Linked DNA regions of Lepisosteus oculatus. The protein of the gene in region 1 purifies or fractionates together with the protein of each later gene. This does not show direct contact. Links are inferred from orthologs where the notes say so. Each region holds a gene or a part of one and is shown on either strand. Other genes may lie near its edges.

The links.
Region 2: the proteins of uqcc1 (region 1) and uqcc2 purify together in Homo sapiens (co-immunoprecipitation; 3 studies listed by BioGRID and IntAct, counting the BioPlex papers as one, with this or other methods). This does not show direct contact. The link is inferred for Lepisosteus oculatus from reciprocal best matches to the Homo sapiens genes UQCC1 and UQCC2.

What each region holds. Positions count from the first base shown.
Region 1 is NC_090711.1:172,754-187,880, reverse strand, and holds the start of uqcc1 (ubiquinol-cytochrome c reductase complex assembly factor 1), read left to right. Parts: upstream 1-6,801; 5' UTR 6,802-6,946; coding exon 6,947-7,021; intron 7,022-8,275; coding exon 8,276-8,383; intron 8,384-8,557; coding exon 8,558-8,665; intron 8,666-9,741; coding exon 9,742-9,814; intron 9,815-10,306; coding exon 10,307-10,364; intron 10,365-12,390; coding exon 12,391-12,499; intron 12,500-15,127. UniProt on the Homo sapiens protein: Required for the assembly of the ubiquinol-cytochrome c reductase complex (mitochondrial respiratory chain complex III or cytochrome b-c1 complex). Involved in cytochrome b translation and/or stability.
Region 2 is NC_090700.1:40,733,162-40,748,382, forward strand, and holds uqcc2 (ubiquinol-cytochrome-c reductase complex assembly factor 2), read left to right. Parts: upstream 1-6,919; 5' UTR 6,920-6,979; coding exon 6,980-7,117; intron 7,118-7,844; coding exon 7,845-7,919; intron 7,920-8,140; coding exon 8,141-8,210; intron 8,211-9,216; coding exon 9,217-9,314; 3' UTR 9,315-9,410; downstream 9,411-15,221. Other genes in the region: inositol hexakisphosphate kinase 3, read left to right, coding at 2,640-2,829, 3,278-3,453, 4,661-4,836, 5,024-5,431; tspo (translocator protein), read right to left, coding at 10,564-10,734, 11,602-11,740, 13,710-13,882.

The DNA.
Region 1 (15,127 bases):
AAAATCTTTGTGCTGCTGAAATATAACACAGAATTGTAGAAGTGACTTTTTACCTCCTGAGTATACCTCTTTCATTTGTTTCCATTTCCTGTCTTGCTTTTTAGAAGCTTTCTTCACCCTCTTCTATGAGCAATTCTAAACCTTTTATTTTCTGACAGCTATGACAAACAGAATAAACTGCTGGATTCAGCAGACTGGGAGCTGTTGTCTGGCATGGCTACAATGGGGCATTAACACAAAGTTGGCTTTGCTTTGGGCACTGCATCAACAAGGCTACAACCAGTCCATCACCGGTGTTTGACACTTGACCTTGTTAATAGTTGCTGGGAGTCCTGAGACTTCATAACATTGATCAGCTACAATGAAAATCGTCTTACTCCCTTTCCTTGGCCACTTTATTCAGCAGTGAGTCAGCATTCAAGATCTTATAAGAACCATTAATGACCTGAAGGAGCATGAAGGAGAAGGCTCATGATGATCAGTTTTATCATAGGAAAATATGCATATTTTAAAATGTTACGCTAAAGTTCCAGCAACAGCCAAAATATGTAATGGAATATTACAGAAACTCTTCATTAAACTACATTCTGGGAGTAATGATGAGCATTATTGCTTTCAATGACACAACAATTATATTGACATCAATGTGCATTACAATCACAAAATTAATTTTTAAATTTCAGATTCATTTTAATTTTCAAAACTCAGAACAAGTCAAAACAAGTAAAGAAATAAGAACAGAGTTTCAGCAACTTAGTAAGTATGTAGTGAAAACTACATCAAAACACAATGATGAACACACAGGAAATAAATCAGAAAATAATTAGAAATGGCAAAACTAGCAACAACTTTCCCTGGAGTGTGGTCCACTTTCGTTCTAGTGCAATTATTTTAATCTTATATCAACAGAAACATTTTCATTTATGGACTTCTATTCATCAAATGTTTTTTTTCTCAGATAGGCTATGATCCCATTAGGCTCCTAGGTGCAGTTCAACACAGTAACCACCACCCAAGCAGGCTTAGAAACCCTGTTTCTAAGATGAAGGCTCTTTCTCAAGGGGCATGTCTGCAGATCCCCAGGCTTTAAGCACAGGTGAATAGTGATAGATGAGCAATGCATCTGTCTGCCAAGCAGTAAGGGTGAGCTCATGTCTTTTTCTCTACAGTGAAACTTTCACTTGGAGCTGGTCTAAGTATGAGAGAACGCCTGAATGATTATCTCAATGATGACAGAAATATGAACCAGAATCTCGCCCATCACATCTTTGCCATGCACAAGTGGCATTAAAGAGCTTCAAATTTGCAGTGCCGTGTGCTTATACCACCCGAAGCCAATGGAAAATTGTACATACCGCATGCTTTTTGCATGTGTTTCAGAATCCATTTTAAATCCATTTCAACCCAGATGAAAGTATGGATTCAGATTAATTAGACTGTGTGAGGAATGGATTTACAAAGTTAAAAGCAAGATTAAGCATATCTATCATAACAAGAGTTTAAAATTCTAGTGTTGTACAGTATGTACAGTACATGACTCTAGAGTCTGGACGTCTCCAACTGGAGTTCATCTGATTTAAACTACGAATTCTGCTGCAGTCCCAAAATTTAACCAGAAAATAAGAAAGCTGAAAAATCAACACCATGGAGGAAATTTCTAACCTACCATAAACAGCCTTTCAAGAGCAACTTACAGACAATTAAAACATTACCTCATCCACTCCCCTCTGTGAAAACATCCCCATTTCAAAGCCCCAAGTGTTTTTGGTACTTTTACGTGTGTATACTGCAGGGTTTATGTATTATTTTTCTCAATCTTTCATGCAAAAGTACATTACATATTTTGTGATTTTTGGATGAGGCTGGGGTAGGAAACTGCCTGATGCCTGGATGCCTTTGAACAATTTGCAGGCGCAGCGATGCGTGGTTTTGCTTGCTTTACAGCTTGGGAGCTGTGAAATCAGGTACTTATCCAACATTAATCTCATACCAGGGCCCTGCCAGCAAGTTGTCAGGTGCAGATTTTTAGTTTTTAATTTGCATATTAGCATGCATTTTGGCATAGCGATCTTTAACAGTTCTGTTTTGCAGCTGGTGAAACTCAAACAGACCACAATATGAATGAAAAATGGTTCCACTTACTGGTTGGTTGTTTGTGAAGTGAGTGTCATTGTTAATGGACCTTGAACACAGGAATTTGCAAATGATCATAACCAAAATGACAGATTTAGTAATGGGCCAGCCATGAGGTCTGCTGCAGCCCTGCAGTCAGGCATGCATCGGTTTTGAGTAGCCCAATCAGAGAAGATCCAGAGAGTCAGCAGGAGGCAGACTCAGTGGTTACTCATGGCGCTGTGCTGGGGCACAGGAATGACTGATACCTTTGAAAATCCTTTTAACAACAACAAAATAATCATAATTATTTAATGCTATAGATAATCTTTCACATGGATGCAAAACTCGTGCTTTGTTTTCTGTTTTTCTCTAATTTCAAATTATTGGTAGTTTTACAGGATAAAAAGAATTATTTCTTTCTAAGCACATAGAATCTACAGTATGTGTCTTTGTGCTGTAAAGGTTTTGCTTTTGTTGGACCAGCTGAAGTCACATCTGGAACAGGGACCAACTCATCAGTGTTGGTGTTTCAGTGGGAACACAGAGCTGAACCCCCTCAAGGACTTGTAGAAATGAAAAGCTTTTAATATCTTAACGCTAAATAAAGATACTGATTAATGTCCTTAAAGATAAATCTTTTTTGCTTTTGAAGAACTTTAAAAAACTGGTGCGCAGCTTTAATAAATTGTTTTTCTCTCTCTAACAGAGAAAAGAAAGGATGATAGAATGAACCTCCAATAATATCCACAGTGTGGATTTGGTAGAAGAGAAGCAGTATTCTTGTTTACCAGCTTAGTGAATATATGGTGAATTTATAGTGAATGAAAAGAAAGAACTGCAGTCAAACAGCATGATTTTACACCATACAGTGAACAAAGTGAACACCACAGAGACAAAGACAGTTCTGAAGAAATTTATGAAAAATATCTTCCAACTGTTTTTCTTACCTTGGAGTTTTAACATTTAACATAACGTCTATTTTACTTATTGTATTAAACCAAAGGTATTCAGACGTCTTATGAATCAAAAGCAATCCTTAAAAGTTGCTGTGCTCAGCCATGTGAAACGGAAACTGTGTTTGTTTTAAAAGCAGAGAACATGAAGACAGACGGTAACTAAAAACGAAATGAAGTAAGCTTGCAGAATTTCTGAGGAGAAAAGTCTAATGATTATGTAGGGAATACAGTGATTTAGGAGTTTAAGAGAAAGAGAAAATAAACACTGTTAAATCAAAGTGCTGTAGTGGTCTGGCTTCCTCAGGGGTGGGGCTGTGTGTGTGTGTGGGGGGGGGGGTCTTTGAGGGGTATGGAAACATGACATCATGTTTTTAACACCCTCCTATCTGTGAAGACAGTTAACTACTTTGCTTTTTCAGGTGCCTAATTTGCAGCAAGTGACAATGCATCAGAAATGTTTCCAGGACCACTTAGGATGGAGCCAGGAACAGGGTCCCATTAGGGCCCAGCACCAAGTCTGGGTTGAGAGGCCACAGGGGTACAGTTAAAAAAAAACAGAAAATCCATAAGGAAAGGAGACGCGTTGGTGCATAGAGTTGCAGGACACTAAAACAAAATAAAGTAATTCAATGATTTAATAAGTGCAATAAATATTTTTGTTAAGATATAATGGTCCTGATTTTATTTGGCATTCATTTATCCTAACAAGAGGTAGTAAAGTTTCAGGAGAGAATTTACTCAATAACAACAGGGTGTCAGTACCCTGTATGTACTTACAGTACATATCATCCCAAAAGAGAGGCAGATAGGTTGAGTTAGGCTTATGAAGTGTGGACAACAGGGCAGACATAGCTTAGTGATGAGGTCTGGGTTTTTCTCCATCTCTCCATCATTCCAAGATCAAGGGCTTTCCTGGCCTACTATATGCTTTCTTTGGATCTCTTATGTTCTGAGATTCCTGTGTGTTCAAGAAAGAAAGGGGAATCCACAGCACTCCACCGGACCTGCTGAAGGAATTTCAAAAGTCCAGTGGTGTGGAGTGTAAATTTTAAATTCTATGTACAGTTTTAAAAGAAATCTGTGAGGCACAAATTATAGAAATTCAAATTATTATTTCATCTTGAACTAATTTTTCTTACTTTCTGACGAAGTAGAAAGAAGTAGAAATATTGGTTGGTACTAGCTCTCAGGTAGCAAAGAGAAGCCATTTGAATCTACAATCACAAAGTCACTCAAACCCACATTATAGAAGTACAGAGTTTGCTCATATTCATGCTGTAAGACTGTACCCTGTTGGTGCTGTCTAAACTTCTCACATTTTCCACACTGAACTGCTCAGTCAGACAGTAAGGGAAGGTTTCTGCACTACGTCACCTTTTCAGTAGCATGGTACTTTGTTACCTGCCCTGTCACTCACCATTTGCAAACAAAACTGAATCTCCAATTACTCCCCATACCAAGCAGGCCTGTCAATAATGAAGTGGTCAGGAGAGTTTATGTTTAAATCCCAGGTGAAGCATGCAGACGTATTTCCACTGTGTAATCAGCACACAGACGAGAGCTATTGAGGGCCAAAGCTCTGGCCACGCTGAATGCAGAGTCCAGTTCCACGGCCCCATACAATCCAGCTGCCACCGTCCAGGAGGGAATGGACATAGAGACTCAACATACAAACAACTGGCTACAGGAAGGAATAAGCATTCTGATTTAGCCTGCTTTGTCAATGATTTTGTGTTTTCTGTAAATGCTCATTATGATGCTAAAAGCACAGTAGGGTATAATAATAATAATAATAATAATTGCCTACACTTATATAGCACTTTTCTGGACACTCCACTCAAAGCACTTTACAGGTAATGGGGATCCCCTCCACCACCACCAATGTGCATCTTCCACCTGGATGATGCGACCGCAGCCATAGTTCACCAGAACGCTCCCCACACACCAGCTATTAGTGGGGAGGAGAGCAGAGTAATGAAGCCAGTTCAGAGATGGGGATTATTAGGAGGCCATTATTGGTAAGGACCAATGGGAAATTTGGCCAGGACGCCAGGGTTACACCCCTACTCTTTACGAGACACACCCTTGGGATTTTTAATGACCACATCTCATTTACATCTCATCCAAAGGACAGCACCTGTTTACAGTATAGTGTCCCCGTCACTATACTGGGGTATTAGGACCCACATGGACTGTAGAGTGAGCACCCCCTGCTGGCCCCACTAACACCTCTTCCAGCAGCAACCTTAGTTTTTCCCAGGAGGTCTCCCATCCAGGTACTGACCAGGCTCACACCTGCTTAGCTTCAGTGGGTTGCCTGTTGTAAGTTGCAGGGTGATATGGCTGCTGGTATAGTAAAGCAAAAGGTAAATCAGGGTGAAAGCAGAAAAAGTACAGAATATTATATTAGTATCTCTTTCCCACACCCTTCAGGACAAAGGGTCCCTCGGTGCGTTACATCCAGGAGGGGACCCTTCTTGCAGTGGGGAAGTGCATCTGGGTGACACTTGGCAGCCATTCTGGGCCACCTGCCCCAGTGCACAGCACAGCAAGTGGACATGTTTGACACTTCACTTATTGAATTAAGATTTGCAAGCCCAGAGTGACATTTCACCACCACTGGAGTTATCAGCCCTTTGCACCCCTTCGCCATGTGTCCTGGGATTTTTAAAGCATTGTGCAATACTTGGATCACAGCAGAGCAGATCTCTGGTATAGTCAGGGAAACTATCGTAGCACAATACACTTTCATTATATGTAATGAACAATTGTCCTTGTTCACTAGGATATTGTCAAAACATATTCTTGAAACATTTTAATGAAGGAAACTTTGTCCACATTTTGAATTTGGGGTTAGGTTATATCTCTGTTCAAGAATGGGCTAAATCAGTCAATGGCTATCCCTTGTAGTTAACCCTGAAATTGGTGGAAAATCCCAGTACAGGATGAGCCCACTCCCTGGCCGGTTCAGCAGCTGTTGTCTTGCAAGATATCTGGTCATGTGCTGCACAGCACTGTCATGGTGAGCTCTGTTGGGCACCCTCGCATTGGCACCTCATTCTGATGCCTTGGGTGGCAAATGACCAGCACGTATTTCTTCTACCTTTTTTGTTCACCTGGGAAAAGACAGACAGCAGCGAAGAAGATGGGACATACTGTATCAGCTAAGCCAGCAGTGTCTTTCTGCTGCCCTGTAGAATCAGCATCGCCCTTCTGGGCTGTGAGTCTGACTCCGTTTCCTGTGGAAACCAGAACATTAAAATGTGAAATTATATTTAAGATATTGATAAGCAGTTATATATATTGATAATCCTGCTAAGTACAAGAGGAACTGCAGGCTCAGACATTTGGTGCACGTGTTTGGCTGAGGAGTCAATGCCCCCTGCAAGCTAAATATATTGATAACCTCACTGGGTTTAAAGGATAATATCTGTGTTTCTTTCATGTTTGCAATGCAAAGATGTCTACTTAAAAATGAACAAATGGATGATTAATGATTAAGTCTAATGCTTAGTGTCTACAGTAATGCAGTTTCACTGCTGAGTTTTATATTGTATATTGACTTTGAAAATCCAGAATTTATTTATTTTGAAACATTGCATTTTACGTTCTGATATTAATTTTGTTGGCATAACGATGCTGTTTTGACGAGGTTACTGCAGTCCTCCGTGTGCTCTCAATCTGCAGGCGGACCCGTTGCTATAGACACAGATTCCTGTCCGGGCGGATATCGCGGTAGGACGGGTTCCTTTGACATTGCAGGAGGAGGGGCGGTGACAGGAGGATTACAAAACGTGCAGACTGGATCCAAAATAATATTTCGACTTTCAAGTATTTTTTTTTCATCTGGCAAGATTATTTTTCAATAGAGGAAAATGTATCGGCGAGTTATGCAATCTGCTGTAAGGAGCGGCGTCTCTTTTACTTCACACTGCGGGACGCTTGTCAAGGTAAATACCTTAGCTGTAGGAAAGACTTTGCAGCCATGAGTTTGCCTTGTGACAGGATATATTTAATTGAATATGTTGTCTTTGAAGGTTGCGCTTATAACGTGCATTTTACCTGCTGGCTCCACAATGAAACTTTCTCTAAAATGACGGAAATTTCTCAATTTGTGGATACTAAAGTAGCCCATTTGTGACGTAGTGTTCAGTCCCCTAAATTTAATACGAGTTTGTTAGTGAAGTTTTGTGGCAAGATTTGTATCTCGCGAATCCTTGCGTGCAAGGTTATTGTCTACCGACAGCATTCCAATCATCACAAAATAAGGAGTAGAAGTTTAATATCGTGTGCAATTTCCGATATCATTCAAGACGCGCTCTTAAAACACAAGGTTCTGGGAGTCTGAAATAAGGTGCTTAATTATGTTGTTAAGGCTGATTCCCTGGTCTCCTTTCTATAGGTTGTTTTCGTAGTGCTGTATTCTGAAGCTTAATGTTTAGAAATGTAATGATCTAAGCTCAGTTGCATGCTGTATCCATTACTGTGGTAGAAGGGATTCACGTGTTGTCATTCTGTAACAGCAAGTAGACGATTATGACTGATTTGCACCGCATTGTCTGAAGAAATCCTCCTCTGCTTTCTGTGTTGGTTCTTATACGGAATGTCTGGTTGCCCTGACCAAGCTCATGGCAGAATGAACACTACGATGGCTAAGGGAAATCACTATGGCACATCACCATCCTCTTTCAGAAAGATCTTCAGCATTGCCAGTAGCTAACAGCTCAGAAGACATCACAGCTTGTTAGCTTGGTGTTGCTTATTAGTTTCACATTAATTTTGAGGAGAGGAGGAGTATGGGTGTTGATCTCCTTATTCTGGTACAGTCATGACTGATAGTAGATTTTACAGTAGCTGTATATATTCTTGCTTGTGGATTAATTGTTACTAATGTAATCGACTTTGATGCAGCTTCTTACTAATATGACACTTTCCTATGTGGTATTGCAGTACTCATATTTAATTCAAGTTATCATGACAATGCCTGACATACTTTACCGACAAACTACAACACCCAACATGCATTGTGCTCTGTGTTTGAGGGAGCAGTCCGAACCACGTTTAAGTGACTACTCATTTGGTGATGAGTACTCTAAAATCAGATAGGTGTTTTCTTGAACATGTTTTGCACAAAATGGGCTACTGCTGTATTATACTTGCTGCACTTTTGGGAAACATTTATTATTGTTTTCGTTATGTTTTAGACTCGGCAGATGGGAGCTTGTTTATCCAGAACCCTTGAAGTTCACAGAAGAATGGAGCTGTGTTCCTGGCCACTGTCTCAGAGCAGGACATTTCACAGCACTGCACAGGTACGATATTGTAAGATGTTGTAAGATACAGTCTGCAGGAAAAGATGTTAGAAGGTCATGATTTCCAGAGAGTGCAGCAAGTGGTATTTGTGGGTCATAAGGTCCTATAGCATTGCACTGCTGCTGTGCTGTGGTTGTTTCACTCACTGTAATGCACTTTTTTTCCCCGCACAGCTCTTCTCAGTAAAACAGACACCACAGGCGTCAGAAGAAGAAGTGGGAGCTTTCACCAAACTTATTGAAGCCATGGGATTCACTGGTCCTCTCAAATATAATAAATGGGTAAATGATCTTGCATCCCCTCTGCTAGACTGTCTGACTCAGTAGGTGTGTGCCTTTTCATTCCTCTGGGTCATGCTTACCTGCCCTTCTGGTCTTGTCTTCAGTCACATGCCAGCAGCCATACTTGAGCTGAGCCTGTCGCATCAGTAGGCTAAGAGGGATCTTCACTCAAATGCCAACTGATATATAGTTGTTCCCTTTTTCATTGCTTCCTACTTTCCAGACTTCATGATTATGCATTGTAGCCTTACTCTGGCAGTGGAAATCAGTGTTTACAGTTCTGGGGATGCATGCTGCATACTTCTACGTCTATGAAAATCTTTTGTGAGTGAGCCAGGTTGTGCTCCAGTGGTTCAACTCTTTTTTTAAAAGGGCTCATATATAAAAAGACAAGTCAATAGAGAGATATGATGGGAAAATGTGTGGTAGCAAGAGATTGATTTACAGTGGAAGGGGACACATGATGTGTTGGAATTTCACATTAATGCTTGAAGTCCTGCGAGGGTTTGGTAGTTGCCAGTTTATAGTGGAAACCTTGTACCTTTTCGGCTTGCACCAGTTGCCTCCCTCTGACCGACGCTCCATACGCAGTGTCCCCAGCTCGAGCCACAACAGCAGGCGCACAGCTGTGCAGAAGGAGATGGTAGTAGAGTTACAGATTCAGAGTTGCACAAGCTCATGAAATAATGTTATACAGAGCAGCTGTGGCTGAGCTCAGAGAGGAGCAGCCAAGTCAGTTATTTGCTCATTGGCTTAGAGTGTAATTTATCCATGATGCACATTCCTCCCTCATTATGGCATTGTTGGTGCAAGCCAAACCCTCTGCTTTTTATAACGTGTGAATTTGAATTATGTGTTCATAATGCTCAAAGTGTAGCAAAGGTGACATAAAAAAGACCAAATTCTCTTGAAGGTTAAGCTTAAGCTGCTTTTCATCCAGTAACCGCAGTGTGTCAGCATATTTATTACTCAAGATTCAGAGGCCCATTCCAGGCCTCATCTGTTCCAGCTATTGGTGATTAATACTCACAGTAATAAATTGAAGTTTTGTTTGTTTTTTCATTGTTTTTCAACAGAAAATTAAGATTGCTGCATTGCGCATGTACACCTGCTGTGTGGAAAGAATTAACTATGATGACTTTTTTGAAAGTAAGTGTTCGCCAACGTTATGATCAGTGGGTGATCATCATGATTTTAAAATGTAGTCATTATTAAATAGGACAGAATCAACTTTTACATGATAAAAGGCATGATTAATTGTGAAAAAATAGTATTCTCCTAAAAGTGAATTAAAATGAGAGATGGGATCCTGCTGAGATTGTTGGAAAGCCTGTACTGAGGTTTTCACAGGACACATAAAGTAGCTTGAACTCTGTAGAAAGTACTTCTGCTTGCATCTTCTGGTCCAGGCATGTCAGAAATGTTTACACATTTTGACCAGGGCAAGTCCATGCCTGTACACAGGTGGACTGAACGCATTTAACTCCTGCAGCTTTTTGATGTATAAATAAATTAGTGACTTTCCATCTCATCAAGCTTAGAGTATTAGTGCTGAGTGGTACGTTGTGTGTTAGAGGATGTGGCCTGTGTTGAGTCCGAGGTGAAGAGGAAGTTGACTGACCCCTGGTTTTCTGTGTGCAGAGTGTTCCCTCCCAGACACACTCAACTCCTGGTTTCTTGTGGCCCAGCTCCATGTCTGGTGAGTGCAGAGCTCGGACATATTTTATAGTGGCATTTATACATAATTTGCTTCATACATGTTTCCTTCGAAACAAGATTCATTGGTCTTATTAATGTGATTCTTGTTAATCTTCATTAGCATTTGAAATATGCCTGCGATGGACGGTTTTCCTGTCTAGGGTGTATCCCGCCTTGTGCCTGCTGCTTGTCCCAATACGTCTGGCTCTCGCACAGCCCTGTATTATATAGACCTTTTAGAAAATGGATGGGTAGTATTTAAAATAATTAGCTATAGTATTCTTTAAGTAGGATCCATAGCAGAATAAGAACCAGTGAAACAATAATATGCAGTTAATATCGTTTCAAACTAACAAAGTAATAGGTTTATTCCATGCTGAAATTGAACATTTTTTTCAAGCATGGAATAAACTTATTACTTCTTCCTTTGCAGCCTACGCATGCTGACGCAGCTACCCACCTGAACTACTACAGCTAACACAGTAATAGTTTTTACTTTCTTATCTTTGCAATTATAGACCTTTCTTTTTATTTTTACTGAGCTTGGTTTTTAAGTTATTTTTTGAGGTGAGTCTGTTTTTTTTCAGCTTTTTTTAACTACATTGATTCAAATGCTGAAACAGTTTCCTACTGTCTTAGTGACCTGTCTGGATATTTTTCACTGTTTTAAAACTGAGGCATTAGTTTGATCTATTAGATAGTTTGGCATCACTGATGAAATAAATATTAAGTGAGGTTGGAAAAATCTAAAACCGCAGTGCTGTTGGAGTGACATTCTTGTATTTTCATGACATTTCCTGTTGCTTTTAATTCTTGAGAATGTATGTCACTCCCCAACAAACTCAGTCCAAACACCTGGGGACAGGTTTGTTACTGGATTTCACAGCTTTCAGAGCAGAAAGTTTGCTTTTCATTTGCATGACAGGAAAAGTTCCACATTTACGTAAAGCAAGGTTTGAGTGATTTTAGCTGACAGCTGTAGTAATCTTTAATCCCAGCTGTGATATTTACATTCTCCCACCTCCCAGTGAGTGATCCAGAGACAGGACAAACCTCAATGCACTCCTGTTCTGCTCTGGGCTTGGACACTTCAGGCTCCAGGACAGCACCAGTCATGCCCAGCCCTGTGAGCAGGCCTTTAAATTATAGCTATTTTCTTGCCAAACACCTTACAGGTTCCCTTTTAGAACTCTCTATCATCAACAGATGCAGGTCCTTAATGCCTTTTGCTCTGGCAGAAAACCCCATTTGTACACTTACATCTCAATAACTGCATTGAGTGGAATGAATAGCACAGTTCCATTTTACTTTTAACTTAATATTTGCTTAATTTCAAAGAAAATAAATTTCAAAGAATGTATTGTTTGCAGTGATTTTATTGCAAAAACAAAACACAGGATAATAATTTATTAAATAATACAAATATGTCAAACACAGTGCTGTTCTTCAGGCTTGCTGAGGTGCGCTGTGGAAGAGAGTTGTTTGAGAAAGAGGAACAAGAAAGAAGCAAGAGCACAAGGTTCCCTGACTAACTGTTGTCTTCTCCTGCTTGCCGTGTTTCTTCACTGTGTCAAACCACGGTCAGATGAAGTGCTTTGTCTTTAGCTGATTAATTGGATGACAGTGGTGGGGAGCCTTGCACCCTAGAATACATAATATACAACATATATCATCTCCTTGAACAGAACCTGTCCCTATTCCTTAATAGTAATATTAATCTCACTGGCAAACTGTAAAATAGAGCTTAATTGTTAACCTTACAATCTGGTTATTGGAACACACTATGATGTATTGACTTCATCTTACGAATTACGCTCACAAAATACATTATTTTCGTAGTAGCCCTTAGAAAAATGATGGCTGAATCTTGCTCACACCACACGTGTACCTGGTCCTGCTGTGTGCTATGCTTCCTGACTCTTATATATCCTGCAGCAACAGCCTGAGGTGAATCCCAGTGGAAAGGCAGCTCCCTTGCGGTGTGGAGTGCTGTGATGCTCAGGCCACTGTGCTCTGTCCTCCTGCAGGATGTGCCTCGTGCGAATGAGACAGGAGGGCCGTGCGGGGAAGTACATGTGCCGCTACATCGTGCACTCCATGTGGGAGGATGTGGAGCAGCGCGGGAAGATAATGGGGGTGAGTTGCAGCACCTGGTCGGCTTGTACAGAGACTCTGACAGAAGACCAGCAAGAGCTCAGATAACTAGGTATCCACATTGTGCACTTATGTTTGTGAGCAGCAGGTTTCGATCCTGCAGTTAAAAAATACACGTTTCTGGGTACATTTTTATCTGGGTATGTTTATTACTTGAAAATACATCGGGCATAAAAGAATAGTTTTTTTTTTTCAATACGTGGCTGCTTTATGAACAGAGAGCTTGGTGAGGACCTTAGTGGGCTGACTGAGTTAGTGAGGATGGTGGCATTGACACAGCTGTAAAAACAGGCCATGCATCTTCCAGCCTCCTCCATCTCCAATGTCCCTCCATATCCACCAAGGTCCCGCATGATTTTCACAAGGACCGGTCACCTTTCCTGACCCAAGCCTCGGGATAAAATTAGGAATGATGGGCCTAGCTTCCCAAGAAACGCCTCAGAATTCTTTAGTGCGTGTGGGGTCTCAGGCGTGCCATTTCTCTTTTGTTGTGCTCTTTCTAAGCCGAAGCCAGCCTGCTCAGCATGTCTTTTGTGCTCATGCTAGTTATCTATAGGGCAAGAAGGGTCCTAAAGCATGTTTATCAAGCTCTCCTGCCAAGGTGACAAGGCACTACAAAGAACTGTAAAGTTCTCAAAGTTATGTTTCCATGTGTTCCATGTTTTGTGCTAATACTTAATAATGCTGCAAAGTTGTCAAAAGATTCTGAAAGAATTGAACTGTAATATGTCTTGAAAGAGTTGCTGGTTTCGGCAGATTGACTTGACAAACTTGCTACCCCCAGAGAGAGCGAGAGAGCGAGAGAGCGAGAGAGCGAGAGAGCGAGAGAGCGAGAGAGCGAGAGAGCGAGAAAATCATGCTTATTTTCCAACTCCCTCTAAATCAAAACCTAACCAGAGTATGTCACATGGTGGGATATTATAGGCTGTATATCAAAATTGTAAAAGAATATTTGTAACTTGACTGACAGTGAGTGATAAAATCATGAACAGCTTTTCTGCATTTCTTGCATTTGTCTTTATTAGTATCTTATAACTTTTTTTTACCTGAAAGGATTTTTGCCTGAAATCATTACTGTACAGCATTGAAGTACTCATACATACGTATGGAAGAGATGGGCAGCTACACAGTAGTTATTTTCTGATTTTCATTTTAATTGGATTCATGACAATTTCAAAGAGTGGAGAGAGAAGGAGCTGAGCAGTGAAATCACCAGTGTTTCTGTGCTGTTGTCTGTCTCTTTTCCATGCTGTAATATTTGCCAAAGCCAAATCAATGATCTCCTGGGGACGATAAATTGGAATTAAAAGAAATTATTCAAAAAGCCATGATTTTTTGGTTCATATGTTTACTCATTTATTTATTGAAGCCTGGCATTAAGAGTAATGCTCTGTGGGCAAAGGAGAGAGGATGGCACAGTCCAGATGTAGCTCTGAATGTAGCCCTGAATATGTTAATCTCTCTCACCCTGGGAGCAGCAGATGTGCATTGTCATGTGGTTCAGAGCTTTCCCGCTAAATGTGTTCTGTCACAGCTAGGGTCTGCTGACGGCTTGGCCTCATGTTGGTGTCAGGACTTTCAAAAAATTGCTTCAATGGAAGCAGGACAATGTGCACCTTAAACTGACTTTTGAATGTTTGCTATCCACTCTGCCTCCTGCCTGCACTGTATCCGAAGACATTATCTCAAAAAGACAGTGAGAAGCTCCTTCTGGAATAGGGGGAAGTGTTGCTCAGTGCAGAGTCCTCTTGCCGTCAGGAGTGGAGCCTGCAGCCCACTGTGGCTGATGTCCTCCACCAGCTGGAGTGAAGCCTGCGCACAACAGCCAGGGGCTTGGCAGCGCCTGCTGGTTGCTGAGCTCCACAGCTTGCCTCATTTTCCAGCTCTCCACCCATTTTGCCTGAGGGCACAATGAGGGCAAGTCTGTAATTTCCCTGACTTAGGAGAGGTTACTGTTATAAAGAGACCCTTGTTAGCGTAACAGGACATGGCAGGCAGAGGTTTTCATAGCACCACCATTGTTTATATTACCCGTAATTTAGAGCCTCCAGAGCTACTAAGACTTTGGCACTTAAAAAACTTAGCCATCAGTTCTCTAGCATGTCCTTTTATTATTGTTATTATTCTGGTTGTTGTTGTTGATAAATACTTCTATTTCTCCCGGGTTGAAAGAAGTAATATGTTTTGTGTCATGGCAAATATTTAGTATATGGCCTCTTTTTTAATATTTTTATTAAATTTGGACATCACAAATGCTTGGTAACTAAAAAAATATTTTGGAATATGTATAGTTTGTAAGAAAATTAATTGTTTTGAAACATTTCTTACCTTCAGATTACAATTTATGACTCCACTGTGCTGTTTTGTTTCAAGTTTAAATTTTTACTATAAATAGGCTGGAGACTGAGTTCAGATTAAGATTTTTAAAAATAATGCCCTTTCCCTCAAACCAAAAGACACAGCTCACTATGCGTAAAAGCTTGTGAAGAATTGGTTTTAGATATGAATTTACCTTTGGAAAGGAAAAATTGTTTATTAAGAATGGTACATGAAACTTTGTCTCCCTAGTTGAGAAGTGGCCATTTGAGAACTGACATTGTAGCTGTGTTG
Region 2 (15,221 bases), on another chromosome or scaffold:
CTAACAATTATTGCGAAAGGTCTGCACCACAGAGAAAAGTGGGTACACACACAAAATGTACTGTGCATTTGAAAAAGAAAAGGGGAGTTTGTAGATGGTCCCTCAGAGCTAGCGTGACTGCTCTGTGAAAGGAGGATCTGATCTGGTGTCCAGTGTCTCCTGCATTCCGCTCTCATGAGGGGCTCCTTTCATATTTAACACCCTGTTGACTCCAGGATGGGGAGGGGGGGGGGTGTGGATGTAAAAACTGACCCCTCTGACTCACACCAGCTGGACAGATCACATCCTGTCCAGACTAGAGAACAGGCTGTACAACTTGGCCCTTTCTGTAAGCAACTAAACAAACTAAACATCAAAATGTTTCAGAGGTGGTAATAACCTTGCAGGCAGACAACCCAGACAACTATTCTTTTGTTAGTAGCTTATCACAGCAAAAGGAAAGAAGAACAGTATTTTATTCTAAAGTGTTCTAGGTCAACATGCACAGCTTGTATTGATAATATAATTAACACCTGCCAGAGGCTGAAGGCTGGTTCTGGCTAGGGGTTAAAAGTCATTAGCTGAGAAACATGAGGATGGTGGAATTTTGGAATCACCTCTGAGAAGAATCTGTCTGTAACCATTCACATGATCCCATCAAGTAAACTGGACAGACAGTTACAGAGATGCTGCCTCCGATGTTTACTTTTTTAGCCCCACTATATATTACAGATCAGTGCTATCACAGTCCATACGGGACAGCCTATACACTGCAGTACGCTAGGAATGGACTGCAACAATCCTGTCTGCACCACAGCCCAAGTGTACTGTCTCAACAGAGGGTACACCTGGTCCCAAGAATAGCAAAGCAGCAAATTTCCCCAATACATGCAAAATGCAATCAAACAGATAAGATAAACCCTCACTCCATAGCCAGGAACTTCCATATTCATCCACTGAGCCTCTGCTGTCCCAGCAGTGCTGTTTTGAACATCTAGGGTTAACTGGAAATAACAGTATTCTGCGTGTTGAGAAGAGGCAGTGCAGATGGGGTACCCCTGTACTGGTGAACACACACAGGATGCTTTCCATCATTGCTGTTTGTGTGTTTATTAGAGGTTGTGGTTGCTGAGGAGTTGCAGAAGTGTGGGAGCACTTTGCACAGTTTACCCACCCTGAGAGAAATTCTGTTCCCTGGGTTTCTGGGCTGCTGCCATCGGAGCCTGAATTAGAGGAATATTCTAACCATTCGATTCCTAACACTGTGCTTCAACAGTTTCCAGCTAGTTGTCTCCCCATAAGTCACCCCAGCCCCACTGCACCTTGGTAAAGACAGGTAGAGAAAGCCAGCAGGACAGGTCTATTTGGTTGGGCCAAATTTGTTGCATTATTATTATAACAGGCAAAAATCTGAGAACAAAATATTTTAGAAAATATCTCCAGTGTCATGACAGTTCTTCCTAAAATCTCAACAAAGTCTCCTTTTCACCGAGATAAGGATGAGCTGCCAGATTTAACTCTGTCTACATCGGCTCCTCTTTAATTTCTCTTTTTGGTTTCTGCACACATGCATGCTCTTCCCTACAGTTTGACTGGGAGTGGAAGGAGACCGTGTGGTCTGCAGTAGGCTCTGGGCTTACCTACAGAGCTCCAGGCCATGGGGCAGACAGGGATGACAGCCTGAACACCCAGCTGTAGACAAGACATTTAGGGGGAGCACCTCAGCGGGGCTGTTTCAGCCTGGGAGGGCAAGTGAACACAGCAATAAAACCAAAATAACCTGTACAGGGAAAGACACCCCTGCCTCAGCAGAAACAGCAGTGCTGCTTCTAGGGTTCTGGGACGGGGCCAGGACAAAGGGTTACTGGGTACACAAGGTGAGGGGGCGGAGTGTGGGGAGCTGTCAAAATCAAGCAGTTACAGAATCCTACTAAGAGCAGTTTATGTAATGCACATTTTCACTTGTATGAATTTAACAGCCAAAGCAGCAGGATTAGGATTGATAATCCATTGATTCAGGAAATGACGTTACCTTGTGTTTCCAGTCCTGTTATGCGATGTGTTTCTCCTTACCAGTGCCAACACCCACAGGCAGCGGCCACTGGGTCTGCCCCTATGATCCTCTCTCCAAGTCTCTTTGTGCTCAAACTCCACTGATTTATTTGTTTTTTCTAGGTTACTTTCTTGGCTTCACGTGAGAAGATTCAAGCAGGCAGCACTACAAGGCTTTCACTAACTACTTTGTGACAAGGATACAATCTAAAAACACAGGATTTATAAAAAATAAAAATTCCCTTTTACTGAATAAGAAACCACTCTTAGCCTATAGGATATCGTGATATGCGAAAAGATGCATTCCTAATGCAAGAAATTGTATAGGGCTAATAAAGAATGCAAGAATATGATAATATGTGATGTGAAATTTGACTTGCATTAAAACACACACTAGCCCTTCACTGGTGCACATTATAAGAGGAGTGACAGGGGTGCATTGGCATTAGTGCAGTACAGAGCCAATAAACCACAAAAATAGATTTTACAGGAGGAATATGAGTAACAGCAGAAGCTGCTCTGTTCACAGGATGCTTGGGCTATGGGGTGAGGGTGGTGGTACTTAGAGTTAAGCCAAGTCAAACTCCCTGACCCTCCGCTCCCCATAGGGTTGATCTCAGTGAGCCTGGAGAGAGACAGCAGTGGGCAACTGGTACTGGTGGCCTCTCCCCATAAGGACAACCAGAGCCCAGCTCCGCCATCTCCCAAGGCCCACAGGAACAAGAAAACCAAGGCCAGCAGTCCTGATCACCAGGAAATCAGAGAGAGCCCCCTGCAGGACAGATCCCACCATGACAGGTGAGCTACAGAAGAGGAAAATGACAGAGGTGCACAGCTAAGGTACAGTACACCAGCAGAGCTAACAGAACAGGATCTTATTCTGACTATAACACAAACTGAACACGACCAGATCAGAAGAGCTCAATCAAGTGCTCTCACTCATTGTTTTCTTTTGTGATAATCCAACACTAACAAAGTCACCGTGAAATACAACCCTGCAGTTTTTTCAGCTGGGGGAATCTCTGGTCCTTCATGTCTCACAAACACATCAGCACTCCAGTCCCATTAGGCCCAGTTCATAGCAGTAATAACTGCTTAAAAGAATGTAAACAGCTGAGTCAAATTTCCATAAAATTCTAGAGCACAAAAGATGTCCAGGAACCACTTAATTTAGTTCACAAGTAAATTATATCCAGGAACCACTGGGTGGGGTAAAGCTGGTGACTGTGCCCTTTTCTCCTCCCAGGACTCTGGGCTGCACTGGGAGGGGGCTCGGCTCTGACGTGCCTTTCCACATGGAGGACCCCAATGGGAATGAGAGCAAGCTCTCAGAGCAGAACAGCCACAACCCCTGGGGCCTGCGCTGCCACCGTGCGCAGCTCTCCCGCATGTCCTCTCAGGGCGCCTCCAACGTGCTGCACTGTATCTTTTACGACTCTTGTGTTCTTGTTAAATCGTCTCCCTTTCACTTTCCCTATGCTTCTGTTTTGCAAGAACTGATTATCACTCAAAGGGAAACAGCAGCCCCTTGTGGTCATCAATCCCTCAAGCCCCACTGCTTGGACTAGCTGTCAGCCAATTTCAGCTCAGGAAGTCTATTCCTGGAGGTCTGTAAGCATCCAGGCCTCCTGCAGAATCATTCCGACATGTGTCCTGAGCAACATGGAGTATCGTGAGCAAGGACAAACTGCAAGAAACACAACACAGGGCACTGAACTGCCGCTCACTCTGTCCACTGCTCATGGAGTGGAGTGTCCAGAAAAGCGCATCACAAGTGTAAGGAATTATTATTATTATTATTATTATTATTATTATTATGTCAAACCAGAACAAAGACCAAACACTGCTGCCTTTCAGGCTGACAGACTCAGAAACCAGCAGCAGTTTTAGACAGAAGAAACAAGAGCACAATAGGAAAGTCAGGTCTTACCATTCATGGACAGGAGTATCCTGCCTCTTCACATCACTTGCCAGGAGCAGTCATGCAAGTCCGAGTCTGAGGCAGCAGAATCAGGAATTCTAGATGGAATCCAGGGCCCATAAAGCTTGGAGACAAATACTTCCTTAGATTCATCTTTCTCGACCCCTGGTCGGCACCAGTCCCCGGAGCAATGCTGACCAGTTGAGAAACACTGCTTGATATTTCTTTAAAAGCAAAATGAAAAGAAATCCCCTTTAACCATAAGCACAGCTAGTGACCTTTTTTATTAAATTCCTGAAAGATGCACCAGCTGGCTCTTTAAATTTCTACTGTTTGGAGACTGCAATGCAGCACATTTGGGTACCCCACACGTTTCCTCAGTAACCAGTACACACAGCAAATGCCAATCTGTCCAGAATTCCCTTGTGCAGAGAACTAGTTGATTTGCACACAAGACAGATCAACGGAATAACTGTAACAGTAGCAGCCATTCAGCAAAAATGATTAACAACAAAAGAAACAAACTACAACAGAATCCAGGTTCAGTGACACACAGAGGGTCTGTGGCAGATAATAAACACAAAGGGAAACTGGTTGCGAAAAACAGCACAACAGCACAAGGTCAGCAGTGAGTCATTAAATTCAGAGATCCACCCTGATCGCAATCTCCCAGGCCTGCAGGCGTTCTCTCCTTGACGCTGCGCTCAGGGTTCGTGCTGCTGGAGAACGTGGTGTGGCCATTCATGCGTCCCTGCGTGCTGGACCTGAAGATGGGCACACGGCAGCACGGCGACGATGCACCCGAGGAGAAGAAGAGGAGACACATGAAGAAGTGTGAGCAGAGCACCTCCTCCTCACTCGGCCTGCGGCTGGGGGGCATGCAAGTAAGGCACAGCAGCCTGCCCTGCCCTTCTGTCTGTCTGTCTGTCTGTCTGTCTGTCTGGTCCCGCCTCTCCAGCCCTTTCGGTTCCTCCCTCCTCTCTCCTCTCCCCTCTCCCCTCTCCCCTGCCACGTTCCTCCTCTCTGCTCCAATCCACGACTCTGCTGACCCTCAGCAGCTCTTCCCCACAGGTGTTCCAGGTGACCTCTGACCACTTCCTGTGCCGGAACAAGTACTACGGCCGGACGCTGTCGGGGGCGGGTCTGCGGCAGGCGCTGTGCCAGTTCCTGCACAATGGGCGATGGGTGCGTCGTGAGCTGATCGGCCCGATTCTGCAGCGACTCGGCCAGCTGCGCGCTGTCCTCCAGCGCCAGGGCTCCTACCGCTTCTACTCCAGCTCCCTGCTGCTCATCTACGAGGGTGTGGAGAGCCCCTCCGCCTCCCCCAGTGTGGACGTCCGTATGATCGATTTCGCCCACACCACCTTCCGCGGCGCCCACCACCCCCACACCCCTGCCTACGACGGCCCAGACCAGGGCTACATCTTCGGCCTGGACAACCTCATTGGTATCCTGAAGGAGATCCGCGATGGAGAATGACGACTCCCACTGGCGGGCAGCTTTCTGAAGACTGACCTCGCCAGGGCTGGATGATGTATAAAGACTGTAGACAAAGACTCTGACTGGCTCATACACTCCATTTGGAGGAACTTGTTGGTCTGTTGTTCATTTACTGCAAGTTAAAAAGATCAGGGAGAGAAGGGGGCCACAGGGAGATGCCAAAAGCTCAAAAATAGAGTAAACTGACATCAGTTCTGGAGCTGAAGCTTCCAAGATACCTGATCGCTGTATCATGCACGACTTCAGTGATTTGTACACAGGTGCCTTAAAAACCAGCAACTCACACTGCAGAGAGATGGGTCCCCGTTACTTACTCATACTAATGGCTGTGAGTTATAAGATATTCACACACACATTGTGAATTTTGAGGAACAAATTAACCAGCCAGCATGGCTTTGAAGGGTGGAAGGAAACTGGAGCACACTGAGAAAGGCCACGTGGACACAGGGAAACATGCAAACTCCACACAATCTTTCCAAGTCCTGAATCAAACTCGGGACCCAACAGCCATGAGGCAGCATCTCTAACCATTACTGAGCCACCTGCATCATTGAAGTATAAAACAAAACTTAGCTTCTTAGTTAGGCTTTTCCTTTTCAATTTGTATTGCTGTACATGAAGACTCTGTAACGCGTCTGTAACCAAAGTGTAATATGTTTCCAGTGTTAGAATTGTCAGCACAGTGAGTATTAAAGTGGGGGGAGGGGGTGTTCTGCTCTCATGTGTAGGTGCGTGTTTTGTGGCACCGGAGAGTCAGGGTCTTTCCTCCTGCCAGAGGTCCAGGGTTTGAAAAACAGGACGGACCAGATCAAGTGGTGCTGGAAACCAGTGCAGGTACCAAAACACCATTCGAGGACTTACTGGGAACCAGTGTGCCCTCTGTCTGATTGCAGACCCAAGACCCTGTCTCCTTACTCCTCATTAGCTCTGGCAGTACTGGGCACAAAGCCCCACTCAGAACCTGAGGCAGACAGATCAAAATACGATACAGGTCAGAGGTGAGTGGACAGAGAGTGACCCTCAAAGACAAAGACAGTGACATCTCATCTTTGGCATTCCTTTGAATATTTTTGATAGCTAACATCTTTTTGATGATGGCGGTTTATCTCACCCAACTACTGAACACACACTGTTTAGCAGCTGTCACTGTTCACATACGGAACACTCGTTCACCGGTAAATAAGGTTTCCTACTAAAACCGCCAATGATTCGAGCCCTTGAAGACCAGGGGTTTTCAAACTACTTTCCGCAACTCTGCGGAAAGCTAGATGTCTGTGTAAAACAATGTTTTTATTTTTTTATTTAAAGAATAACGTGAAATCAGCATAAAATAATCTTAAAGCCCCCCGCGGACCACAGCTCTCTTGACACGTAAAGAGCCAGTGTTTCATAAGGCTCTACGGCCGAAACGTTTTCTTTCTTCTTTTTTTCAGCATGGAATAAACCTATTACTTGTTCCAGTGTTTCATAAGCTCGCTGTTACCAAACAGCTCCCTCCCCCGGCCGCGCGTGTCCGTGACAGCGAACATGTCGGCTACTCGGTACCGCCGCTTCCTCCGGCTGTGTGAAGAGTGGCCGAGAGACGAGACCAAGAAGGGCCGGGACCTGGGCACCTTTCTGCGGCAGAAGGTGGCCCTGGCCTTCCGGGAGGGGGAAAGCACTCAGGTGAGCGGGCAGGGGAAGTGACCGAGGCTCCAGCGGCGTCATGCGAACAGTGAAGCGGGGGGAGAGGAGGGTGTCAATCGTGCCGTTAAAGCGTTTCAGCAAGAGGGGTGTTTCTGCTTGCTTGATATTGTAGGATTATTACGTGGTGAAGAGTGTCCGAACCTTTGTACACAGACCTAAACAGCAAGACCACATATGACGGCGGTCTCCATTTCACTACGGTTTTAGTGTTTACCGCGACTTCTTTTAACCCTAACTTCAAACGCATGCTATTTGTTTATACAGGCTAAACTGTTAAAGTGTGAGATTTCTTAGTCCGTGAAGTATACTATACTGAAAACTGTAAATGATTCGCCGGGTTTTCGTTAAAGCATTTGGAGGCTTTGGTGTGAAGTGCACTTGAAACGGAATTCAAATGAGATTCAATGGTCGACCTTTACAAACACAAACCTACAAATCAGTTGTGTATCTCATTTCTCTCCGCAGCAGATTCGTCATGTCGTAACTAGTTTCTCGTTCATATCTGCAGATTCGTCAGCGTTCGTAGACTTGTTCAATTAAATTTACATCAAGTAAATGTATAGGATGGGTATTACTCATGGTCTGTGACATTACTGACGTTCAAAAAGAAGAAACAATAATATCCGATAGTTTAAATTCAGGTTTTTGTTATAGATTTTAAATTTCACAGTAATTGAATTAACTATGCTGTATTTCTTACTTTCAGATCGCAGATGCAGAGAAGTGTGATCAGATGTACGAGAGTTTAGCTCGTATCAATACTAATTTTTATAAACAGAAGGTAAGTAGCTTATAGTTTCCTGAACGTTGTTTAGAGAATTTAAACATTTTTTAAATATAAATAAAATGACAAATATTGAACCCATTCTCCACTTCAGTACTCGATAAATTATAGAGAAGTAAAACCTTACCTTTAAAAAAAAACTATATGATATCTTACATGTCTTTTTTATATCTCCGGTTTCCGGTTTACCTGGTAACCGGCGCTGCCTGGTCGCGCAGTTCCCTCGGGCGCAGGACACGAGCTTCACGGGCGTGACGGTGGAGGAGTGCAGGATGGTTCTGGCAACAGGTACGCGCGCCCTTGAGCCCCTCTGGTCTAGCCCTGCGGCACTGATAAACCGAGTCTCAGCGCTTGTACAAGACAGGCCCTACGTCGAACACTAAACACTTTTTTAGTGTTTTGGGAGAATTGTGGTTGGTTACAATTGTTTCTTTACAGATGTACTACTACTACTGTTGTTTGTAGTACAGATGTACTACACGCATCAGTGTTTTATTTACATTTTAGAACAAAAACCAAGGTACAGAATTCAAAAACGGGAGTAATTTCTTCACACAGTCATCTTTGCCAGCAGCCATATCACTCTGCAACTCACAACTGGCAGCCCACTGAAGCTAAGCAGGTGTGAGCCTGGTCAGTACCTGGATGGGAGACCTCCTGGGAAAAACTAAGGTTGCTGCTGGAAGAGGTGTTAGTGGGGCCAGCAGGGGGCGCTCACCCTGTGGTCCATGTAGGTCCTAATGCCCCAGTATAGTAACGGGGACACTATACTGTAAACAGGCGCCGTCCTTCGGATGAGATGTAAAACCAAGGTCCTGACTCTGTGGTCATTAAAAATCCCAGGGTGTTTCTCTAAAAGAGTAGGGGTTTAACTTAACTCTGGTGTCCTGGACAAATTTCCCATTGGTCCTTATCATGGCCTCCTAACAATCCCCATCTATGAATTGCCTCCATTACTCTGCTCTCCTCCCCACTGATAGCTGGTGTGTGGTGAGCGTTCTGGCGCACTATGGGTGCCGTCGCATCATCCGGGTGGGGCTGCACACTGGTGGTGGTGGAGGGCAGTCCCCATTACCTGTAAAGTGCTCTGAGTGGAGTGTCCAGAAAAGCGCTATATAAGTGTAAGCAATTATTATTATTATTATCTTGTAAAAGGTGACTTACTCAGACCCCTTTTAAAAAAACATGGGAAAGATTAGTCACAGAGCCTCCAGCCAGAGAGCGCTGTTCTCGCATCCTCAGTTCGTCTGAGGAATCCTGATTTGGGGCTGACAGGTCTGTCCTCTCTCTGCAGACAGTTTGCAGCAAATGGAAGATGCGAAGAAAGGGATGTGGAAGAAATTAATGGCGCGCTTTTCCTCCAAGTCGCCAGAAGAGGGTGCAAAGGAGTAACCCCGACCTCACACAGCTCCTGTACATACTGTAGCGTGCGGATGAGTGTATACTGTAATGCCATTTTTTAAAAATTAAACATCACATTTAAATAAAGTATCACTAGTTTCTTTGCCCTACACTTAAGAATCAGTGTTTGATGTGTGTACTTGCAGCATAGTAGCAGAATGCCTTTGACCTTGGATGGAGTTTGGATTAAGTTTGTCCTGTGAATTAGACCAGGTATTTTAAACTAAATTGGACGCTCTGTGGTCCTGCTGGAGCCTGACACCCTTCACTTATCAATATCTGGACCCCTGCTGGAGCTCCAGCACTGCTCTGTGCTGTCTGATAAGGAGCAGTAAATGGCAACAGCCCCTCCCTCTCTGAGGCAGGCTGATAAGAGCCCCGACTGCACCCTGCCCTTCCTCCAAGAGCTAACAGGCACAGCCAGGCACCCCACTTACCCTCTACACTCGCCCACAGTGTCGACACGCCTGTCACTCGTGAGATCACGCAGGAGGCTGGGTCAGCGTGGTTCAGTCAGGTCCTGACCTCTCTGGCTTTTCGAGCGTGAAGTCACCCCCAGATTAAAGTCTGCAAACGGAGCTTCACGTCTTCCACTGGGTCAACTGTGAGGAACTGAGCTTGGTGGAATAAAGCTCACAGGACTTTCCAGGACCAGGGCTGCAGGTTTGATTGACTCTCAATGACCTCACGGACCCTGCTGTGGGTCAGCTGGGCCAAAGACGCTGGAGCGAGGTGGAAGAGACAAGTTCAACTGCCCCCACTCAAGAGCACTGGGTCTCGGCTCCGGGCCAGCCTCCGTCCAGACTTTCTTTCCAGCCACAATCTCCACGCCCTGCTGTGTCACATGCCACACGCATCAGGTAAACCCAGCTGGAATGAAAGCCTGGACTGGAGCTTGTGGAAACGCTCCCAGGAGGCAACTCCCTCTGCCCCTGCGGCCGTTCGGCTGAAGACCACCACCGCTGAGCGAGCACCGCGGGATATGGGCGAGAGGTTTAAACCATGTGAGAGCACACAGTTCCTGACAAAAGCTCAGACAGTTAAAACAACACATCAAGGACAGAAATACTGACAAGACATACATTAATCTCAAACTATTTTATTAACTCCAAAAGTACATACAAAATGAGAGAGGGAGAAGACGACCCTCTGTTGCCGCTGTGCAGCCCTGGCACAGGTGACGCAGGCACTTCCCAGAAGCCTCCTCCATTGTGCAGGGAGGGGCTCGGACACCCCTTTTTCAGTCCTGCTTGTCGGGGTTGTCCCTCCAGATGCAGTAAGTGAGGCCGGTGGCCAGGCAGAGCCACATGAGGTAGGGCACCATGAGCAACGCTGCCGTCTTGTTGACGGGGTACCAGGACAGCGCGGTGGCGCCTGCCGTGCCCGTCAGCAGCACGACCTCGATCAGGGCCTGCAGGGGAGACACATGGCACAGCGGCCGCTGACACAGCGCCCCTCTGCTCGGCCACTCGGAGCAGGGGCGCAGCGGAGAAGAGGCAGGGCTCGGAAACATCGGCATTATCGCGGAACTAACCCTGCCTGAGACAGGGGGATTGGCAAACTGCTCATAATAGTTGTTTTTAAAACACACAAATACACTAACATACTAACAGTATGCAAAAAAAAAAAGCTGTGGGAAAAGGAGGTAAAATAAATACTACATAGATTTCAAATTCAGGAATATCAATGGTGCCCTTTAGGGGTTGACGATTAACCTACAAAGGGTGTTGTTTGGGTTTCATATGCTTTAGTGAATTTTATACAGAATATTTACGAAATGTTCAATTTCATGAAATAACGAGCTTGTATCTTTATGAGAAAAAAGGCACAGGAATAATTGTCCATGACTTTGTTGATGCTATGCTAAAGAATAAATCAATAAATCTTGAAAGTATATCCAGTATACAGTGTATATATATATTTTTAACTTATAGTGTGTTCTGGGGCTGAAAAAAACGTCATTCCTGTTTTAATGGACATTCTTCAATAACGGACTCCCCTTTCCCCACTGGTTAATTTATCCGAGGGCTGACACTACAGGAAACAGACAGACAAAAAGAGGAAGTGATAGAGGAGGAGATCAGGGGAAGACTGAGACAGAGAGGAACACGATCGGTGCTTGCCTTCTTCATAGAATCACACACGCCGATTCAGCACGACCTGCAGTTTTCAGTTTTTTCTATGTAATGCAGAAAACACACTCAAGACGAGCGAGGCACAAGAGTCACGGTATGGAGCTGCACTGCTATGGTCACTGTTAGTGGAAGCCATACCGTACCAGCTTCAGTTTGTGTGCCCCGAAGAAGATGGGCGTCCAGGCCCAGTTCAATGCGAGCTGTGCCCCATACAGGCCGAGCGGAACCAGAGCATCTTCAGTGAAGCCGCCCAGGTCTCGCCACACCAGGTAAGAGCCGTACCTGGGAGAGGGAGGGGAGTGGAGAGGAATACGGGGGGAAGACAGAAACAGATGTTGTTACATGAAGAGGTCGATCTTGGTACCATCTTTTGAAAAAAAGAGTTGCTCAGAGTGGAAAGCCAGCTGTGGGCCGATTCTGAACTCCTGCACCAGGCACCTCTCTGCTGAGGCACCCCCGCAGTACTCCCCCCCGCGCCCTTATGCAGTCCACACCCCCGCAGTACTCACCCTCAACCCTGTCCACACTGCAGTACTCACTCCACGCCCCTGTGCAGGAGTCCACACTGCAGTACTCTCCCCTCGCCCCTGTCCACACTGCAGTACTCACCTTCAACCCTGTCCACACTGCAGTCCTCTCCCCTCGCCCCTGTCCACACTGCAGTCCTCTCCCCTCGCCCCTGTCCACACTGCAGTCCTCTCCCCTCGCCCCTGTCCACACTGCAGTACTCACCCCACACCCCTGTCCACACTGCAGTCCTCTCCCCACACCCCTGTCCACACTGCAGTCCTCTCCCCTCGCCCCTGTCCACACTGCAGTACTCACCCCACACCCCTGTCCACACTGCAGTCCTCTCCCCACACCCCTGTCCACACTGCAGTACTCTCCCCACGCCCCTGTCCACACTGCAGTACTCACCCCTCGCCCCTGTCCACACTGCAGTACTCACCCCTCGCCCCTGTCCACACTGCAGTCCTCTCCCCTCGCCCCTGTCCACACTGCAGTACTCTCCCCTCGCCCCTGTCCACACTGCAGTCCTCTCCCCTCGCCCCTGTCCACACTGCAGTACTCACCCCACACCCCTGTCCACACTGCAGTCCTCTCCCCTCGCCCCTGTCCACACTGCAGTCCTCTCCCCTCGCCCCTGTCCACACTGCAGTCCTCTCCCCTCGCCCCTGTCCACACTGCAGTCCTCTCCCCTCGCCCCTGTCCACACTGCAGTCCTCTCCCCTCGCCCCTGTCCACACTGCAGTACTCTCCCCTCGCCCCTGTCCACACTGCAGTCCTCTCCCCTCGCCCCTGTCCACACTGCAGTCCTCTCCCCTCGCCCCTGTCCACACTGCAGTACTCACCCCACACCCCTGTCCACACTGCAGTCCTCTCCCCTCGCCCCTGTCCACACTGCAGTCCTCTCCCCTCGCCCCTGTCCACACTGCAGTCCTCTCCCCTCGCCCCTGTCCACACTGCAGTCCTCTCCCCTCGCCCCTGTCCACACTGCAGTCCTCACCCCACACCCCTGTCCACACTGCAGTACTCTCCCCACGCCCCTGTCCACACTGCAGTACTCTCCCCACGCCCCTGTCCACACTGCAGTACTCACCCCTCGCCCCTGTCCACACTGCAGTCCTCTCCCCTCGCCCCTGTCCACACTGCAGTCCTCTCCCCTCGCCCCTGTCCACACTGCAGTCCTCTCCCCTCGCCCCTGTCCACACTGCAGTCCTCTCCCCTCGCCCCTGTCCACACTGCAGTACTCTCCCCACACCCCTGTCCACACTGCAGTACTCTCCCCACGCCCCTGTCCACACTGCAGTACTCACCCCTCGCCCCTGTCCACACTGCAGTCCTCTCCCCTCGCCCCTGTCCACACTGCAGTCCTCTCCCCTCGCCCCTGTCCACACTGCAGTCCTCTCCCCTCGCCCCTGTCCACACTGCAGTCCTCTCCCCTCGCCCCTGTCCACACTGCAGTACTCTCCCCTCGCCCCTGTCCACACTGCAGTACTCTCCCCTCGCCCCTGTCCACACTGCAGTACTCACCCCACACCCCTGTCCACACTGCAGTACTCTCCCCTCGCCCCTGTCCACACTGCAGTACTCTTACCACGCCCCTGTCCACACTGCAGTACTCTTACCACGCCCCTGTCCACACTGCAGTACTCACCCCACACCCCTGTCCACACTGCAGTACTCACCCCACACCCCTGTCCACACTGCAGTACTCTCCCCACACCCCTGTCCACACTGCAGTACTCACCCCATGCCCGTGTACAGCGCCGTCCACACCACAGGGAATGCCTTGTTTGGGGGGCGCCAGGACGGCTTTTTCAGAGTCTCGTACCAGGTGGGCACCGCTTTCCGGGTGAAAAGTGCGCCAACCAGACCCCCCAAATGGGGCAGGCCAGTGAACCCCAAAGCCTGTAACCACATGGCTGGGGGACAGTGACAGGGACAGAGAGGAGACCGGGTGTTATCACTCAGATCCATAACTGTGTGCTAACAAACTGGTACAGAAACTAAGCACATTCAGTCAAAAGATTTATGGGAACAGTGTCAAATTAGCGGAAACTGAACTTTCGAACTGTTCTCACTACTGAAAACAAAACAACTCGTTTGTACTAGGAAAAATATGGAAAAATCCAGTTTTCACAGAATAATGACCCTCAAAGGCTCACAGTTACGGAGTATCTGCAAATTCACCTGCTGTTGATTTCAAGGCGCCGGAAGCTAACGCCTGCGCTCATTCCCTTGGTTTGTTAAAAAAAAGACAAAGGACAACTTCTGATGGTTTTAAGGTCATTATGCCTCATGGTGGCTTTGCTTAAGGAAAATTAAGATATTTGAACTCTGGCAGTCTGAACGCCCTCGCGAGACACTCACGTACACGCCCCTCGGGTGCCAGAGACACGACCCCGGTGTTTGGCACTGACACCATACTACCAAAAACCGCACAAATAGTTACCGCACAGCCACCCTGTCAGAGCAGTTTTCAGATCTTATGTACGAAACCCAGCGAGACGGCTGCCGAGATCAGTCTTACCTCCCGAGCAATGCAGCGCCGTACAGCTAACCACTGCTGCCTGTCCGTCTGTCCCAGCCTGCTCCGGGCTTGTGTAACAATATCCCGGACTGGGAGGGACCACAGCGCCGTCATTCTGGGGGCGGGGAGTGTTGCAGGAGTTACGAAAGGAGACACAAGGAGCAAACGTTTCTCTTTTTCCCGAAGACGACGCGGTTCGAAGTCCACACCGAAGGCGCGAGACCACGATTAAAGCTCGTTAATTGGTTACAGGAAGCAAGGCGCGTCGTGTCAGCACTAGCGTTCAAATATGTTTAAAAATCAGTCAAGCTAAAGACTGTGTTTATTCTTGCATCTTTAGTTTTAATGTAATTAAATGTAATGTAATGTAATTGCATGTAATATAGTATGACTCAACGCAGATACGAGTGTTTCTTAAAACGTATCAATTTTATAAACTGTTTTCCAACGCCCGCTTTATCACTGCAGTGAAAACTGGCTTCTGAGCACATGCCCCACAGGAGCTCTGCAAACAGCACATTTAGCCACCAGAGGGCGCGCAATGCATTACAGGGGAGACGACTGTCTACAATATCGTCTCTCTGCGTCTCTAATACTCTTCAGACCAGCGATTATTATTCTGAAGAGGATTGTGGTTCTCGAGATCATCTAGTTTACTATGATTCAGTCCTTTATTAAACAACATTGCCACCTTGTGGTCAGGGATGGTCATTGCCCATCTTAAAACTT